Linked DNA regions of Pelodiscus sinensis. Each later gene encodes a partner of the first gene's protein in a complex. Links are inferred from orthologs where the notes say so. Each region holds a gene or a part of one and is shown in the gene's direction. Other genes may lie near its edges.

Region 1 (7,230 bases):
GTCGTCATTTCCCCTGCCTTTGACATTCACATTGTCACATAACAAGCGATGAATGGAACACATCCAGCCCACTTAATTAGCTTCTTTAACACGAGTACTACAATTAACAGGTAACTGCTTTTGCTGGTATATACACACCTTGGATTCTGTTATTTGAACTCCAACTCATCTGATGAAGTGAGTTTTACCCACAAAAGCTCATGATCCTATATATTTGTTAGTCTCTAAGGTGCCACAGGACTACTCGTTATTTGTCAACATTGAATTTCATCTGCCATAGTGATGCGTGTTCCCATAGCTCGGCTGAGTCCCTCCCTCTGCTTCTTCACAGTGAAGACTAGAAAAGCCTAATATTGAATCATCTGCTAATTTTGCTACATTATTCAGATTAAATATATTAATCTAGACTGGTGCTGGTACAAAGCCTTATGCCTCCCTTTATCTTTTTGCCATGTATCTTTTTGCTGTGCGGTTCTGTACTCTGTGCATGCGCAGATCGTTTTGGGCATGTGCAGATCGCTCGGTGCCGGCTCTTCCGGGGTGTAATCTACTCACCACGGGCGAGTAGATTACACTATTTGTCGAGCCCTGGCCATGTTTAATATTATCCATTTATCCCTTCTATTCTCTGTCGCTTAACCAGTTTCTGACCTATGCTAGCATTTTGCCTCTCACTCCTTGATTTCTTAGTTTTCTTAAAGTCCCTCACAAGACATTATCAAAGGCTTTTTGAAAGTCCAAGTAGCTTAAACTGAGTATCACAAGTGCAAAGAAAGTCAGAAGCATACAAAGATCTAGATTTTTAATTACTTTTTACGAAATCTGATAGATTTCTGACTATCTATTGCTGTATACGTTTAAAGTAAATAAATAAGCACAGAGCAGTGAAAATGTAAGACACTTTCATTCTACTGCACCTTGTTCAGCGATGTAAAAACTGAAATTAATCTTACACTAGTTGTACAGATCTGTTTGAAGTTGCTAAAAGCTGTTTAAATCTTTTCTTCTGCACATTATCTTTTTTTTCCTCCTTGGTAGATTAATGTGCCCCTAATCTTCTGGGATTGCTATTGAAGTGAAAGAGGAATTTTAAAGAGATGCCGTTTTGTCTTGTAAATATGCTGCTTCTGCATACTGTTCTGCATTTGTTCCCCCCTCTGAAAACTAATGTGTTTATGAAGTAGTATTAATGAAAAATTCAGTCTCTGATATTTCCAGCTGTTTTGTTGGGGGGGGGGGGGGGCGCACAGTATACTTTGGATTATTTCTCTCAGCCTGTGCAAGAGTTCTGGAAGGCCTCTGAGGCAGTGGAGTCAAACCTGCGTAGTCTCTCAAATTTCTCAGAGCCTTTTCTCGTCTTGGCTCTCTCTAAGCGGCACAGCGCTGTCCACAACAGCTCTCTCCGCCCAGTGTGGTTGAGTGGAGTCAATAGTTCTGTGACAGGCACCCCCTGTTCTTAACACCAATGGAGGTCCAGATGCCACTTTCCTCACTGGCAACAGAAACACTATGCCAGGGCTACTCAACATGCAGCCCACGGGCCACATGCGGCCCACAGCCCATCTGTTTGCGGCCCGCGATGCGGTTTGGGTTTACACAGGGCTCAACAAAAAAGTAGTCAGTATATGGTCTTCTGTTGAGATGCATTTTAGTAGTTAAATTCCTGGACTGTCATTGCTCATTAAAAGTGCTGTCAGATGGGTGGAAATTGGGTAACTATTACATTTTATTAATATCAGCAGAACTGACTTAAACAGCCTATGCGTTTTGTAGTCTTGCCTTAATCTTTGTATTCATGCCTGTTAGTATGAAAGAAGCTATTTGCATATATATTTACATGTATCTGCAACCACACTTAAGTTGCGGCCCTCGGCATGTGCTGTGAGTATCATTGTGGGCCCTGAGGCTTCCAAAGTTGAGTAGCCCTGCACTATGCAAAGGATTGTTACACAGCTCAGGATCTGGCCCTTTGTCTTGACATGATAGAGCAAACTAAAGGGTCACGCTTGGAGAATTCTTTAATAAACCAAACCAAAGCTTTTCACTCTGAGCCGCTTCCCTGCTTGGCCTAGCACAGGGGAGTGAACAAAGACATACAGCAGTATGTAGTACTAGGAGGGTGAGAACGTGATCTCTCTCTCTCCTACTAGATGTTTGCATCAAAGGCACTAGCTGACATTACTGTGAGTGGAGACACATGCCACTTCAGTATCACCCAAGGTAACCCTGTCTCCTTCCAACTTAGAGCCAGGTTTTCCAAGAGAGACCAGAACACTGGCTTCCCAAGGGGAGCAGAGGCCTTTTTAGAGACAGTGAAAGTACATTTGTGCCTAAAATAAAGTGATCAAACTAATAGAAAGGGCCAATTAGTAAGAGGATAAGGACAGCATGGCATATTCTGCATACCAGCTGAGGAGAAAAACTCTCTGGGGTGTACACTTCAAAGAATATATTTCAAAGGTTCACTGGTACTTAAAAAAAGGGAAGAGAACCCCTTAGTTATCCATCACGTAGGAGATTTAGGCAACTCTTGAGTCTGTGAATCTTGAGTCCCATGGGTGGAAGGACTAGAGATACTGGTAAATACATGAGAAAGGGTATTGTAATTTTCTAGGATAAAGTTGTAGTCGCTAGAAAATGAGTTTGGCTTGCAATCAGACCTGTCAGATCTCAGATGTATCATTTTAATTTCTGTTCTTAATAAACTCATTCTTGGTTTTACTATAAATCATTTTAGTGCTGGTTTGTGAAAGTGATATGTGCATCTAGGCTGATGTATGCTCTTTCTTGGTTGGGGCTATGGGAGGGATAGCCTAGTGGTTTGAGCATTGGCCTGCTAAACCCAGGGTTGTGAGTTCCTAATCCTTGAGAGGGGCTATTTAGGGATCTGGGGCGAATCTGTCAGGGATGGTACTTGGCCCTGCCATGAGGGCAGAGGACTGGACTAGATGACCATCTCTTTCAGTTCTATGAGATGGTATATCTCCATATATTATTATTATTATATTACAGGCAGCAGATTTAATATTTTCTGTCTAGTGAGAAGGAATGCACATTGCAGGGAGACATCTCTGAGAAACTGTGGTTAACCGTTTCTTGCAAGGCAAGATTTAGACAGAGTCTGAAGGGGCTTTCTGGTGATGTGGACAGACTTGTATGGCAGGGAGCTGACTTATGAAGTCAGAGGGGTAACACAGTGGTTTATGGTTCTACTTGTCCTAAGCAGAACATCACAAATACATGTTTGACCAATCCCTGCTCCAAAGTGTGGGCACTACCCATTCCCGTGCCATGTGTCTTATAAGCTGATGCCCTGGGGTGTGGGCCCTGCTGTTTCTGAGTGTGTCTGACCAACCACAGCCCTGGGCTGTGGATACTACTGCTTCCCAGAGCACTCTAACAACCCCCTGAAGCTCCTTGTCAGGTAGGGGACTCTGACTCATGGGAAGACAGGCTAAGCATAACCTGGCCTGTTTGTGTATCACCGTATTTTGAGCCTGCAACGCATTTAGCTCATGTGCAGGGGCTGTAGGGTACCTGCTGTCTCCAACAGGGAAATTCTTTTCCTGGGACGGAGCAGCAGTCGCTGCCAGGCTGGGCCCTGTCTCAGATAGTTTGGTCTGCCCCAACTGCCAGCAGCCAGGTGGGTGGCCTGACTGTGCGCAGAGCAGCGGCCAGGCCTAGCAGAAGGAGCAAGGTCAGACCCAGTTACAGTCTGCAGGCCAAGTCAACGGGCCGGCCCCACGGGCGGGGGCAGAGCCAGGAGCCGGAGCTCAGAGCGGGGTTAGTAGGTCTGAGGCCGGGCGCGGGGCAGGCCCTGAGCTAAGCATCAGGCAGCCAGCGAGCTCCTGCGGGCTCCCTCAGCCAACGGGGGGCAGCGAGCGAGGAGCAGCGGTGCGCCCTGCCCGGACACGCGGGGTGCGGCAGGCCCTGCCCTGGCCGCACGGACGCTGCACACACAAGAGGCCAGTTGCACGCGGGCGGCTAGAGGGCGCGAATGGGGGCGTGGTGCGGCCGCAGGCGGGGCTTGGGGGCGTGGCGGAAGCGGCAGGGGCGGTGTGCATGGGGGCGGGGCGAAAGGGGCGTGGCGGAAGCGGCAGGGGCGGTGTGCATGGGCGCATGGTGGAAGCGAGTGTGTATGAATGGGGGCGGGGCGGACTAGCTGCTGCTCTCTGGCCTCAGAGGAGATTGGCTGGAGACGCACATGCGCAGTGAGCGGTCATTCGGCTAGTGCCGGTGGCGGGGTCCTCAGCCCGGCTGCTCCACGAGCCGATATTTCCTCACGCGTGAGGGCGGGGCGTGGCCTCACCTCCCCGGCCTCTCGTGCCGCTGCCTCCCACCTCAGGCGCTAGAGCCCGCCGGGGTCCCGCGCTGCTCCCCCGGCGCGCGCCTGAGGGAGCCGGGCCTGGAGATGGAGCCCGAGAGCCGCGGCGCGGAGCCGGGCGCCCCCCTGCCGGGGCCCGGCGAGGAGCTGGGGCCGCTGCCGGGCCAGGAGGTGCTGCTGCCGAAGCTGGGCGGCGCGGAGCTGGACCGGGAGCTGGAGTCGGGCGGCGACCTGGTGAGGGGGGGGGGCGCTCGGCTGGAGGCGCGGCCCGGGGGGGAGGCCCCTGAGCGCGCGCGCTGTTGGCTCCTGCGGGCCTGGGTCAGTCTGCGCCCCGCGGCTGCCGGCCGCTGCTCTGCTGAGCGCTGTGTCCCGGGGGCAGGGGCGGGTCTCCGGCTGGAGCCTCTGGTGAAAGACGCGAGTCTGCAGCACAGCCACAGCCGCAGAAACTTGGGCTCTTCCTGCCCATCGGCCCGCCGCCTGCTCACCGACAGCCTGTCCGCGCCCTGCCTGCGCTCAGCCGCGTGTGGGGGCAGATACTTGTAGCCCAGCATAGTCAGGACCCCCCTCACTTGTGGAGGTTCTCGTCTCATTTAGTCTGGACAGTTGCTGGGCAACGCAACCCCCACTGTACTGACTGGAGGTGAGGGCTCTGTGTGTCCGCATCTCTGCTATCTGTGTTCCCATTGGTACATCTTGAACTAAATTAACTGCTGGCTTTCCCAGAGATGTCTCACAAGTGCCCCCAGGGATATGCATATCACAGTAAAGGAGGTAAACTTCCTTACTATGTGTGTGACCAGTACCTAGCACATCAGGGACCTGATCTCAGTTGGAAACACTAGAGTAGAACCTCTAGTTTACGAAGTAATTGGTGTTTGAGGAGTTAATGAAACAAACAAATAATTGAACAGCCTAACATTACAGTATGTATGGCACACTGGATTGTTTTCTTGTCCCTTCAGACCACTGCAAAGCAATTTAGAGTGCATTGAAGGCATCTGAATGTGAAGTTATATTAGAACCTCAGTTATAAACACCTTGGAAATGGAGGTTGTTCATAACTGAATAGTATGTTATGGTTCTTTCAAAAGCTTACAAATTAACATTGATTTTAATACAGTCCTGAAACTTTACTATGCAGAAGAAAAATGTTGCTCCTCCCCCCCCCCCCTTTTTAAAGTAGTTTAACATGGTACTGTACTGCATTTGCCTTTTTTTGGTCTCGGCCACTCCCTGATCACGTGTGTCTGATTCCAGTTGAGGTGTGTGATTGACTAGTCAGTTTGTTATGATGCTGTTTGAAGTTCTACTGCACATCATACTCCAGTCGATCTCCAGAAAATTGCTAAATACAGTACATTTTGAGTCCCTGTAAAATGTACGTTTGGAAGGTTGAATAAAGAGGCTAAATTTTTTTTTTTTATTTAGATAGACGATAAAGAGTTTGATATTCCCCAGGTTGATACTCCTCCAACATTGGAAAGCATATTAAATGAGGTGAGTGTGTTTTGTCATATATGGCAGGCTTCCAAAATATTGAAACTAGACAGAATTGTTCATATTAATAAATTCTCTCTAAACGGTGATGTCAGAATGGATTATTTAGTTTATTCTGCAGTTGGCAAAATACACACACCAAGTAAACTCTGAACACTGTGATACACTTCAGTTGTGTGTTTTCTACTCAGAAGATGCCATATTTAATATCTAAGATCTATGTTTTCTAAATACTTGTATATTTAGAAAATATTTACAAGTAGGTAGATACACAATTGGGCATACTTATGAAGAAAATACATAGCCACAGAACACTTGGTGTGCAGGTAAATGTTATAAATGGATAAATACAGTTTGATAGTGTGGTGTTTGGGTCACATCAGGTGTGTATTCTAGGCGCTACAAGTGATTGTGAATTTACTACATCCCTTAATAATCTGTTCCAGTCTTTATTTACCTTTAAGAATTGACTTCTTAATTTCCACTTTGAACATAGACTGCACATTCTAGACTCTGACCACAGCATCTTCTGAGGATCAGTCCCTGTCAGATTCCAGCAGTGGGGATCTATACTAGTAATATGGGTATTCCAAGAAAAACAGGTTACCCCTGGATGATCTGAATGTTCAGTGCAAGGAATCATGACCCGAGAACTCCATTAGAGATGAGTCATTTCCAGTCTGTCTTGTCTGTCGTGTTTATCAAATTGTTGCTTTTGTTTCAGACTGATGATGAAGAAGAGTCTTTCATTCTTGAGGATCCCTCTCTATTAAATGTTGATAACATTGACACTCACTCTTATGACACATCATCCTTGGCAAGCTCAGACAGTGGGGACAGGACACACTTGAAAAGGTAACTGATAAGTTGGACAGTTCTCTTCTATACCATCTTTGAGTTAGATGTATCATGAGTATTGGAACTGATGTATCATATTTCACTGAGGACCACATAACTCTGTTTTCTGACACACTTGCGTCTGTTCAATCCATGGGATTAGTATGAAATCCAGTGGGGTAAACTAGAAATGTGGTCTGTTGTTCAAAAGATATTTTGGAGAATCCCGAGCAAAGAAGCATCCAAACTTCTGTGATATATTTTGCATAGTGAAAAGAGCCATTTTTCCCAATAGAAAACTAACCTTTATCTTAGTGGAAAATAACCCACTATTAAGAGGAAAATCCCGCAATATACTGCAGTGCAAACTCTGATAGGATCAAACCTCAGTCCACATGTTAAAAATGGATGATGTGCATAAAAAGTCATTCTGTAACAGGCTGCTTATTCCTAAGGGATCCACGAGACAGAAAGATAGAGGTCTAATATATGCTGCAGTGGGCTGTGGAATTTGTTGCAGAATTATTTTAAGTTTACATAAATTTATCTGTTGTGATTGTAAAGAAGACTTT
Region 2 (7,323 bases), on another chromosome or scaffold:
AATTATCCAAGGGTATGTCTACACTAACCCCCTAGTTCGAAATACTGCCAGGGACTTGTTTTACTGGTTACTGGTGTCTGACCAGTCAGTACTTATCCCATCGTTTCTAAAACTTTCTAGCAACCCATGTTACCTCTATAACTGAATGGAAATTTGGCATATGTTCCTTAGGTCGGTGAATCCATCTTTATAGTGTAAAGAATCATGCTAATCTTTGCTATTATATAAGCAGTTATAAATGAGATAGGCACTTGTCAAATATTAGAAGTCATTCCTTCTTTGTAGTTTTATCCATGTATCATTTTAAGATCCTAATTCTGATAACACTTATGCATGAGCTTAACTTTATTACTATGAATAGGCTTATTTAAATTAGTGGAATTACAGTAGTACAATTAAGCACATGCATACATGTTTGCAGAATCACAATCTAAGAGAGGACACATGCCATTTATTTTCTAAGTAGTTGTTATTTATAAACTACTCAGAAAAAAAACCAAGTATTTTTCATTGTATTTTAAATGTTTGCCTTGTTTTTCAAAACCTTAAGATATCATGTTCTTTTAAGTCATTGTATTTCTCCTACCCACAGCAATTTAAAAATATTTATTAAAAAAAATACATACTAAGTGAAAACAAACCAACCTTTCCATACATTTATCAAAGTACCTTCAGTTCCTAGTGTAAAAAAGTTTAAACTTCAAAGTATTTTAATATAAAGAACACTGTAGAACCATTAGCTCCTTTCTATTTTATGTTATTTTTACATAAATATTTCTCTATGAATCACATATTACAGTAAAACTCCATTGCTCCGGCATCCAATGCTCTGGCACTCCTGATGGTCTGGAACCATCGGGAACCTGGGAGTGCTCCAGGCAGTCCGACAATTGGAGCTGCTCTGCCCCAGGCGTCTCCGATTCAGCCGCTGCTGAAACTGACCAGCAGCTGATTCCAGGAAGCCCGGGGTAGAGCAGCTCCAATTGTCCGACTGCCCGGAGCACTTTCAGGTTCCCGATGGTTCCAGACCATCAGGAGTGCCGGAGCATTGGATGCCGGACCAAGCAGCTCTGCCCCGGGCTTCCTGGAGTCAGCCGCTGATCAATTTCAGCAGCAGCTGACTTGGGGACGCCTGGGGCAGAGCAGCTGAGGTGCTGTCGGGTTGGTCCCGTAGCGCCGCCCCTCAGCACTGCAAGACCAACCCAGCAGCACCCCAGCTGCTCTGTCCCAGGTGTCCCCAAGTCAGCCACTGCTGAAATTGATCAGCAGCTGACTCCAGTCAATGAAGCAGGGATTTAAATATCCCCCGCTTTTATCAACAAATCCAGGTTGTGAAATGAGGTTTACAGGAACAGTCGACAAAGGCTGCCCTGTCGAAAGATCCGCGTCTTGACTGCTGCGCTGTGCCAACGATCAGGTGAGCCAGCACAGCATGGCAGCCATTTTTATTTTAATGAAGTGGGAGATATTTAAATCCCCGCTTCATTGACTATGTCGGGTAGTCTAATTTACATGCCTCTGTCGGCATAGGCATGTAGTCTAGACATACCCAGGATGTTTGACATTGAAGTAAATAGGTCTGGATCTGTTGATAAAAATTATCTTTGACTACTAATATTTGATGATTTGCAATAACCAAAAAGGTCTGGCTATTGTGAAGTACAATAGACTCATAGACTCATAGACTTTAAGGTCAGAAGGGACCATTATGATCATCTAGTCTGGCCCCCTGCACAGTGCAGGCCACAGAATCTCGCCCACCCCTCTTAGAATAATCCTCTCACCTATGTCTCAGATATTGAAGCCTTCAAATACTTTGAAGGCCCCAACATGCAGAGAGTCCTTCAGCTGTGATCTGTGCCCAATGCTACAGAGGAAGGCGAAAAACCTCCAGGGCCTCTGCCAATCTACCCTGGAGGAAAATTCCTTCCTGACCCCAAATATGGCGATCAGCTAAACCCTGAACATGTGGGCAAGACTCACCAGCCAGACACCCAGAAAGTTCTCTATAGTAACTCCTATCATCCCTCCATTGACCTATTTCCAACTGATAATGGTCAATTAGTTACCATGATCATGTTATTTCATTCAACCATCCCCTTATCATAGAATCATAGAACTGGAAGAGACCTCAGAAGATCAAGTCCAGCCCCCCGCTCTAGGCAGGACCAACCCCATCTAAATCAAATAATTGTTCACTGCTTTGAGTTAGTACTATTTGAACAAAAATGTCTACAGCAAGAATCTTCCTCTTCACATAAATCCTTTATCAACCAGTTTTCATAAACATTTGAAATGGAGTCTTTTTTTATTATTATTTTTTACAGGCCCCTAATAAGGCTGTAAACTATAACTTAGTTAACTTATGCTAGATCAAAGTTTGGGGCCAAGGCAGAGCTTCAGGCAGCTCCCAGAAGTGGATGGCATGTCCTGTAGTGGCACGAGAATAATTTTTGGAGTAATGATGCTGAGCTGCATCCCCCTTACCTCCGTCCACATCCCAACTGATCCTTAGAGCTGTGGCCAGCAGCTGGGATCCTACAAATAGGGTCGGTGTCCAAAATCCTCATTCTGGCAGCTAGGTGGGATCCTGCAAGCTGGGCTCAGCAGCAGGGCCAGTGCCCAGCAGTCAAGTGAGACCCAAGGCCATGGCTGGCCACCAAGAACATTCGCATGAGGACAGTAGCTGAGCGGGGCTCAGAAGTGGTGGCCAAGTCCCCGAGAACAGGACAAGCAGCCAAGTGGGAACCAGGGTTGGACACCGAGACCATTTGTGTGGTCACAGCAGCGAAGTGGGACCAAGGGCCTGTGGCCAGGTCCCTGAGAGCAGGGCCAGCAGCTGAGTGGGACAAGGGGTTGGCTGAGAATCTTGAGCGTGGGAATGGAAGCTGAGCAGGGTCCTGGGCAGGAAGTGAAGCCTGCACATGGGATGCAGAGCCCCCGGATATTTGGCTCCTTGGGACAGAGATGGCGAAGGGGCATGACTGTCCATACGGGGCACAGGGCTGGGGCAACCCCTTTTCTCCCAGTGGCCCAGGTGTGGCACTTAGCCTAGGGCAACCTCCCCGCTACAGGCCCCACACTAGGGGCAGGGGCAGTGTGCACAGACCCCCTGTTACTACCCCTGGACCTAGGAGCTGGACACGGGGGCACGTAAGCTCTGGGCGCGGCAGGGAGGCAGGGGCCGGTCTTCGCCCTGCTGCGCCACCCACTGCACTTGTCGAAGTTCTGACCCGCGCCCGCACAGCGCCCGGCTGCTGAGGACGGGGGGGGGGGGGGGGCGGGGCGAGGTCTGGCCGGAGCGAACGTGCAGGGCACCCGCATGAGGAGCGTCCCGTGCGTGCGGGGCGCTGGGCAGAGGGGCGGGGCGCGCGCGCGCGCGCTGCGTGAATGGAACGCCGAGGGAGGACGTGCTTGCGGGGGGGAGGGGGGGGGAATAGTGAGTGTTGGGGGATGGGCTGAGTACGGGGCGGGTCTGCGGGATACGCGCCCACGAAAGTCAATGGGGGCGGCGCCTTTTCCTCCCCTTGCCCTCCTCAGGCCCCGCCCTTCCCGTGTCCGGCGCCGCTCACGTGACCGGAAGGAGCGTGAGGAGGGGGGCGGGGAGCCGCCCCCGGAGGAGGCAGGGCGCCCGGGCGGGCCGCAGGCGGAGACCCGCCGGCAGTAGCGCGGCGGGGGCCAGGCCGCCCCGGACCCGGCCGTGGCCGCCCCGGTAAGCGCCGCGGGGGCGGACCTGAGCCCCCCTGGGCCGGCCCCGGCCTGTGTCCGGGCTGCGGGCGGGGGCTGCAGGAGCCATTTTGTCCGGCCGGAGCGGCCGCTGTCCGGGCGCGGGGGCCGCGCTGGTGCCCGAGGCGGGCGGGCGGGCGGGCGGGCGGGGGGTGACTCCGGGTCGCTGCTCTGCCCAGCGCCAGGCCGGGCGGGGCGGGCGCTCCCTGCTGAGCGGTGGCGGGCGCAGGGGTGAGGGGACCGCGTCTGTCTGTCTGTCCGGCAGCCGCTGGCGAGAGGGGCAAGCCCAGGCAGAGCCTGTCCCCGGGGCACGGCTCTGGAGGGTGAGCAGCGGCCCGCAGCGTCGGGGCCCGGCAGCGTGAGCCCCGAGCGCCTCTGCGGTCAGAGGGCCGAGCGGGAAGGTAGCGGCTTACGGATCGTTGTAATAAAGCCCCCAATCCAGTGTGTCAGGGGAGCCCATGATGTTTGGTGTCTGGCCGAGTTGTGAACTGAAGCCCTCAGGCTCGTCTTCTGAAAGGGATGTGCCGGCTTCCTGTGCTCGTAAGGGCCGATAGGAGAGTTACGATGATGCTCGCTTTTTGTGAAAAGTGTTCCCCCACAGGTGACAGGTGTGTCTGTTTTGTTCAGTCACCTGCCTTGTATGCCTGAGATTTGAGGACCGACAGGGCTACACCCAAACTGCACTACATTGTACTGTACTGACTAATCAATGAGGCAAAGCCTTAAGCAGGGTGAGGCTTTTCAGTGATGTCTCCAAAATGTTTTTAATTTATAGGGTCAAATATTGTATTTTTGTATGTATATTGAATATCTAAGTAATGGGTAACAATAGTAATTGCAATGGATGGTAGCATGTGCCACTTTTAGGGATTATGCTATTGATGTTCAATATTGAACAATTTCCCTTGCTATTTCTGAGAGAGATGGAATCTGGTACTTACAAGGAATAGCATATTCCAAGATACCTATACCAGTGCTATCTGCTTAAAACACAACATGTTGCAAGATGTTTAATCAAAGATACATTTAAAAGATATAGCATACTGGTTGTGTTTAAGTTGAAAGAAACTTTCTCAACAACCTTATTCTTGGATATATAGCCAGATCACTTATTTTCTGTAGACACTAAATCTGTATAGTATTACATTATGGTTTTTGCCCAGGATTTGCATGATTTAATTTTAGCAGCACAGGCTACTGGAGGATTCTAACTAGTTTGATTATTTGCATATTTCTTTGTATATCCCCTTTATTCTGAAGATGTTTTTAAAATTGTCTTGGTTAGAACCAGACTTGTACTTGGTTAGAACCAGCTCTCCCACTGGCAATCAGCATTTTTTACCCTTGGCTACAGGAACTTTGACTGAATGTTGACAGCCAGAGGTAAGAAGGGCAGTGTAAAGTTTAGGGGCTGGCTTTTCACTGTAGGCTACAAGCTATTTTTCAGACTAGGTAGCTAAGCCCATGGCGGGAGGAAGGGGAGTGCAGATATAACCAAAGTTTAGATTTAAAAACCTAAATACATTAAATTATGCCCTAAAGCTATTTTTCAGCGTCCAACTAGAAATGACCTGTTTTTCAAAGGTCCTTAGCACTTTCAGTCTGCTGTTATAAATTGAAGTTGTAGCTGTATCTTGTCTTAAAATCAGGCCACTTCTATGCAGATGATTAAAAATGGATTTTAGCCTAACTTTAATGATCCAAGTTTGAAAACATTGGCCCAAAATAGTTTACCGTGGTGTCTGACAGAGCTTATGCTTTTCTGTGATCTTATGGTTTGAAAGTATACTGCATTGGGAATACTGATGGAAATTTTCCTATTTAAAGCATTAACATTTATGTTCTGGATGGTGGATAGTAATGTTTAGATGGTGCTGGTTTTCTCAAATTTGTGCAAACAAATGTTTGGGACCTAAGCATTTTATTTGAAATGTTGTTGTTGTTGTTGTTGTTTACCTCTAAGCACTTGTGGATGAATAATCCTTACTAGTGACTTCCCCCACAGGCCTGTAACTCTCTAAAATGTTCAGTGTAGCACTGTACACTGCCTAAAGAGCAGTCAGAATTCTCAAGTTTTAATAACACTCTTGAGGGAGATTGTGCTAGACTCACGTGGTTTAGTTTGTCACTCACTTCCGCTCCCTCCCAAACTTTCAAGGATGTGGGAGAACTGCTTTCTGGTGGTTCGTGCTTTAGGACAAGGACCTCTTCAAGTACGAAAAGCTAGTCAATACTCATATTTCATCAGTGATACAAATGCTTGTTTGCCTAACATGCTAAATGGGGAATTAACTTTGGAATACTAAATTTAATTTGGATGTGCAGAAAATATAATTGATAGCAATGTGGTCAGGTGTCAAAAAACAACACTGAGTTGGAGCCACTCTTAGGCTTCATCTACATTGTAGGGTTTTTGTGCAAGAAGCCTTTTGCGGAAGAGTTCTTCCGCAAAAACTACTTGTACAAAAGCGCATCCAGTCCTCATGGACACTTTATGGATACTCTTGTACAAGAAAGCTCTGATGGCCATTCACAGAATGGCCGTCAGAACACCTGTGCTTTTTCGGATAGGGGTTTCTTGCTCAAGAAACCCCTACAGAGCATCCACACTTGACTTTTCTGCACAAGAGCTCTTGCTCAAAAAGGAGTTATTCCTCGTGGGGAGAGAAATAACTACCGCCAAAAGCTTTCTCTTCTGCTGATTTACTTGTGCAGAAGTGCGCTTGAGGTGTGAACCCTCCACCTTGTAGTGTAGACATAGTCTTAAAGTAATTGTCCATATGTAGGATCCCACATAAATCATGATTTCTTGGAAATCACGAAAATACCCCACAAAAATGATTTTTCCTTTTTTATAAAAAATGGAAACTGTTAACAATAAAACCTGCAGTACAAAAAAATTATTTACAGTGCTATGCTCCTATATCATTCCACCCTTGAAACTGAATAAACTTAGTAGTAAAATTAATTCCATGCAAATTTTTGTGATTTTAGTACTTTGTTATTTACACTATAGTGAATTTTCTAAAAAAGTAAAATAAACTGATTACACAGGGCCTGATCATGAGATTCACATTCTGAAGATCTGTCAGAGAAAATGCTCGTAGATAATGGTTCTGAAGAGTGAGGTGAATGAGCGTATTAATGACAAACAGCTCTGAGAACAGGGAACAATACCTGTTAAATTTTTGTGCTGTTGACTTCTAAACCTCATGAGAACACTTTGTGGGCTACATTTTCCAATAAATTGGGCATGCAGTTCTGTGGGTAAATCTACTAATTGCAAATGCAGATAGTCAAATGGAGTGCAGAAATAATGGTGTCCTTAATTTTTTCTCTTCTAGTGAAATTGACTATTTCCACTTAAAACTTAGTTACTGTGTGAGAGTACCATATGGCTCTTTATTTTTGTGCAAAGCTCCCATTATCTGAGAGATGCTATGGATTGCATGTAGTAATATTAATCTAGCTTTAATTCAAGCCCCCAGGCTACAATTCAAAATATCATTTGCCCTTCTTAAAATGAGTTTTGAGAGATTGGTATAGAATAAAAGTACCAAACTCTTTCAATATATTGGAACTTGTAAATTGCTTTGT

What was found. Proteins that work in one complex are often made in the same cells at the same time.
Region 2: VPS8 (region 1) and TGFBRAP1 share a complex: the UniProt entries of both Homo sapiens proteins name them as parts of the putative class C core vacuole/endosome tethering (CORVET) complex. The link is inferred for Pelodiscus sinensis from reciprocal best matches to the Homo sapiens genes VPS8 and TGFBRAP1.

Annotation. Positions count from the first base shown.
Region 1 is NC_134720.1:3,949,788-3,957,017, reverse strand, and holds the start of VPS8 (vacuolar protein sorting-associated protein 8 homolog), read left to right. Parts: upstream 1-4,208; 5' UTR 4,209-4,411; coding exon 4,412-4,558; intron 4,559-5,752; coding exon 5,753-5,821; intron 5,822-6,545; coding exon 6,546-6,676; intron 6,677-7,230. UniProt on the Homo sapiens protein: Plays a role in vesicle-mediated protein trafficking of the endocytic membrane transport pathway.
Region 2 is NC_134711.1:233,363,939-233,371,261, reverse strand, and holds the start of TGFBRAP1 (transforming growth factor-beta receptor-associated protein 1), read left to right. Parts: upstream 1-4,319; 5' UTR 4,320-4,435; coding exon 4,436-4,457; intron 4,458-7,323. UniProt on the Homo sapiens protein: Plays a role in the TGF-beta/activin signaling pathway. It associates with inactive heteromeric TGF-beta and activin receptor complexes, mainly through the type II receptor, and is released upon activation of signaling.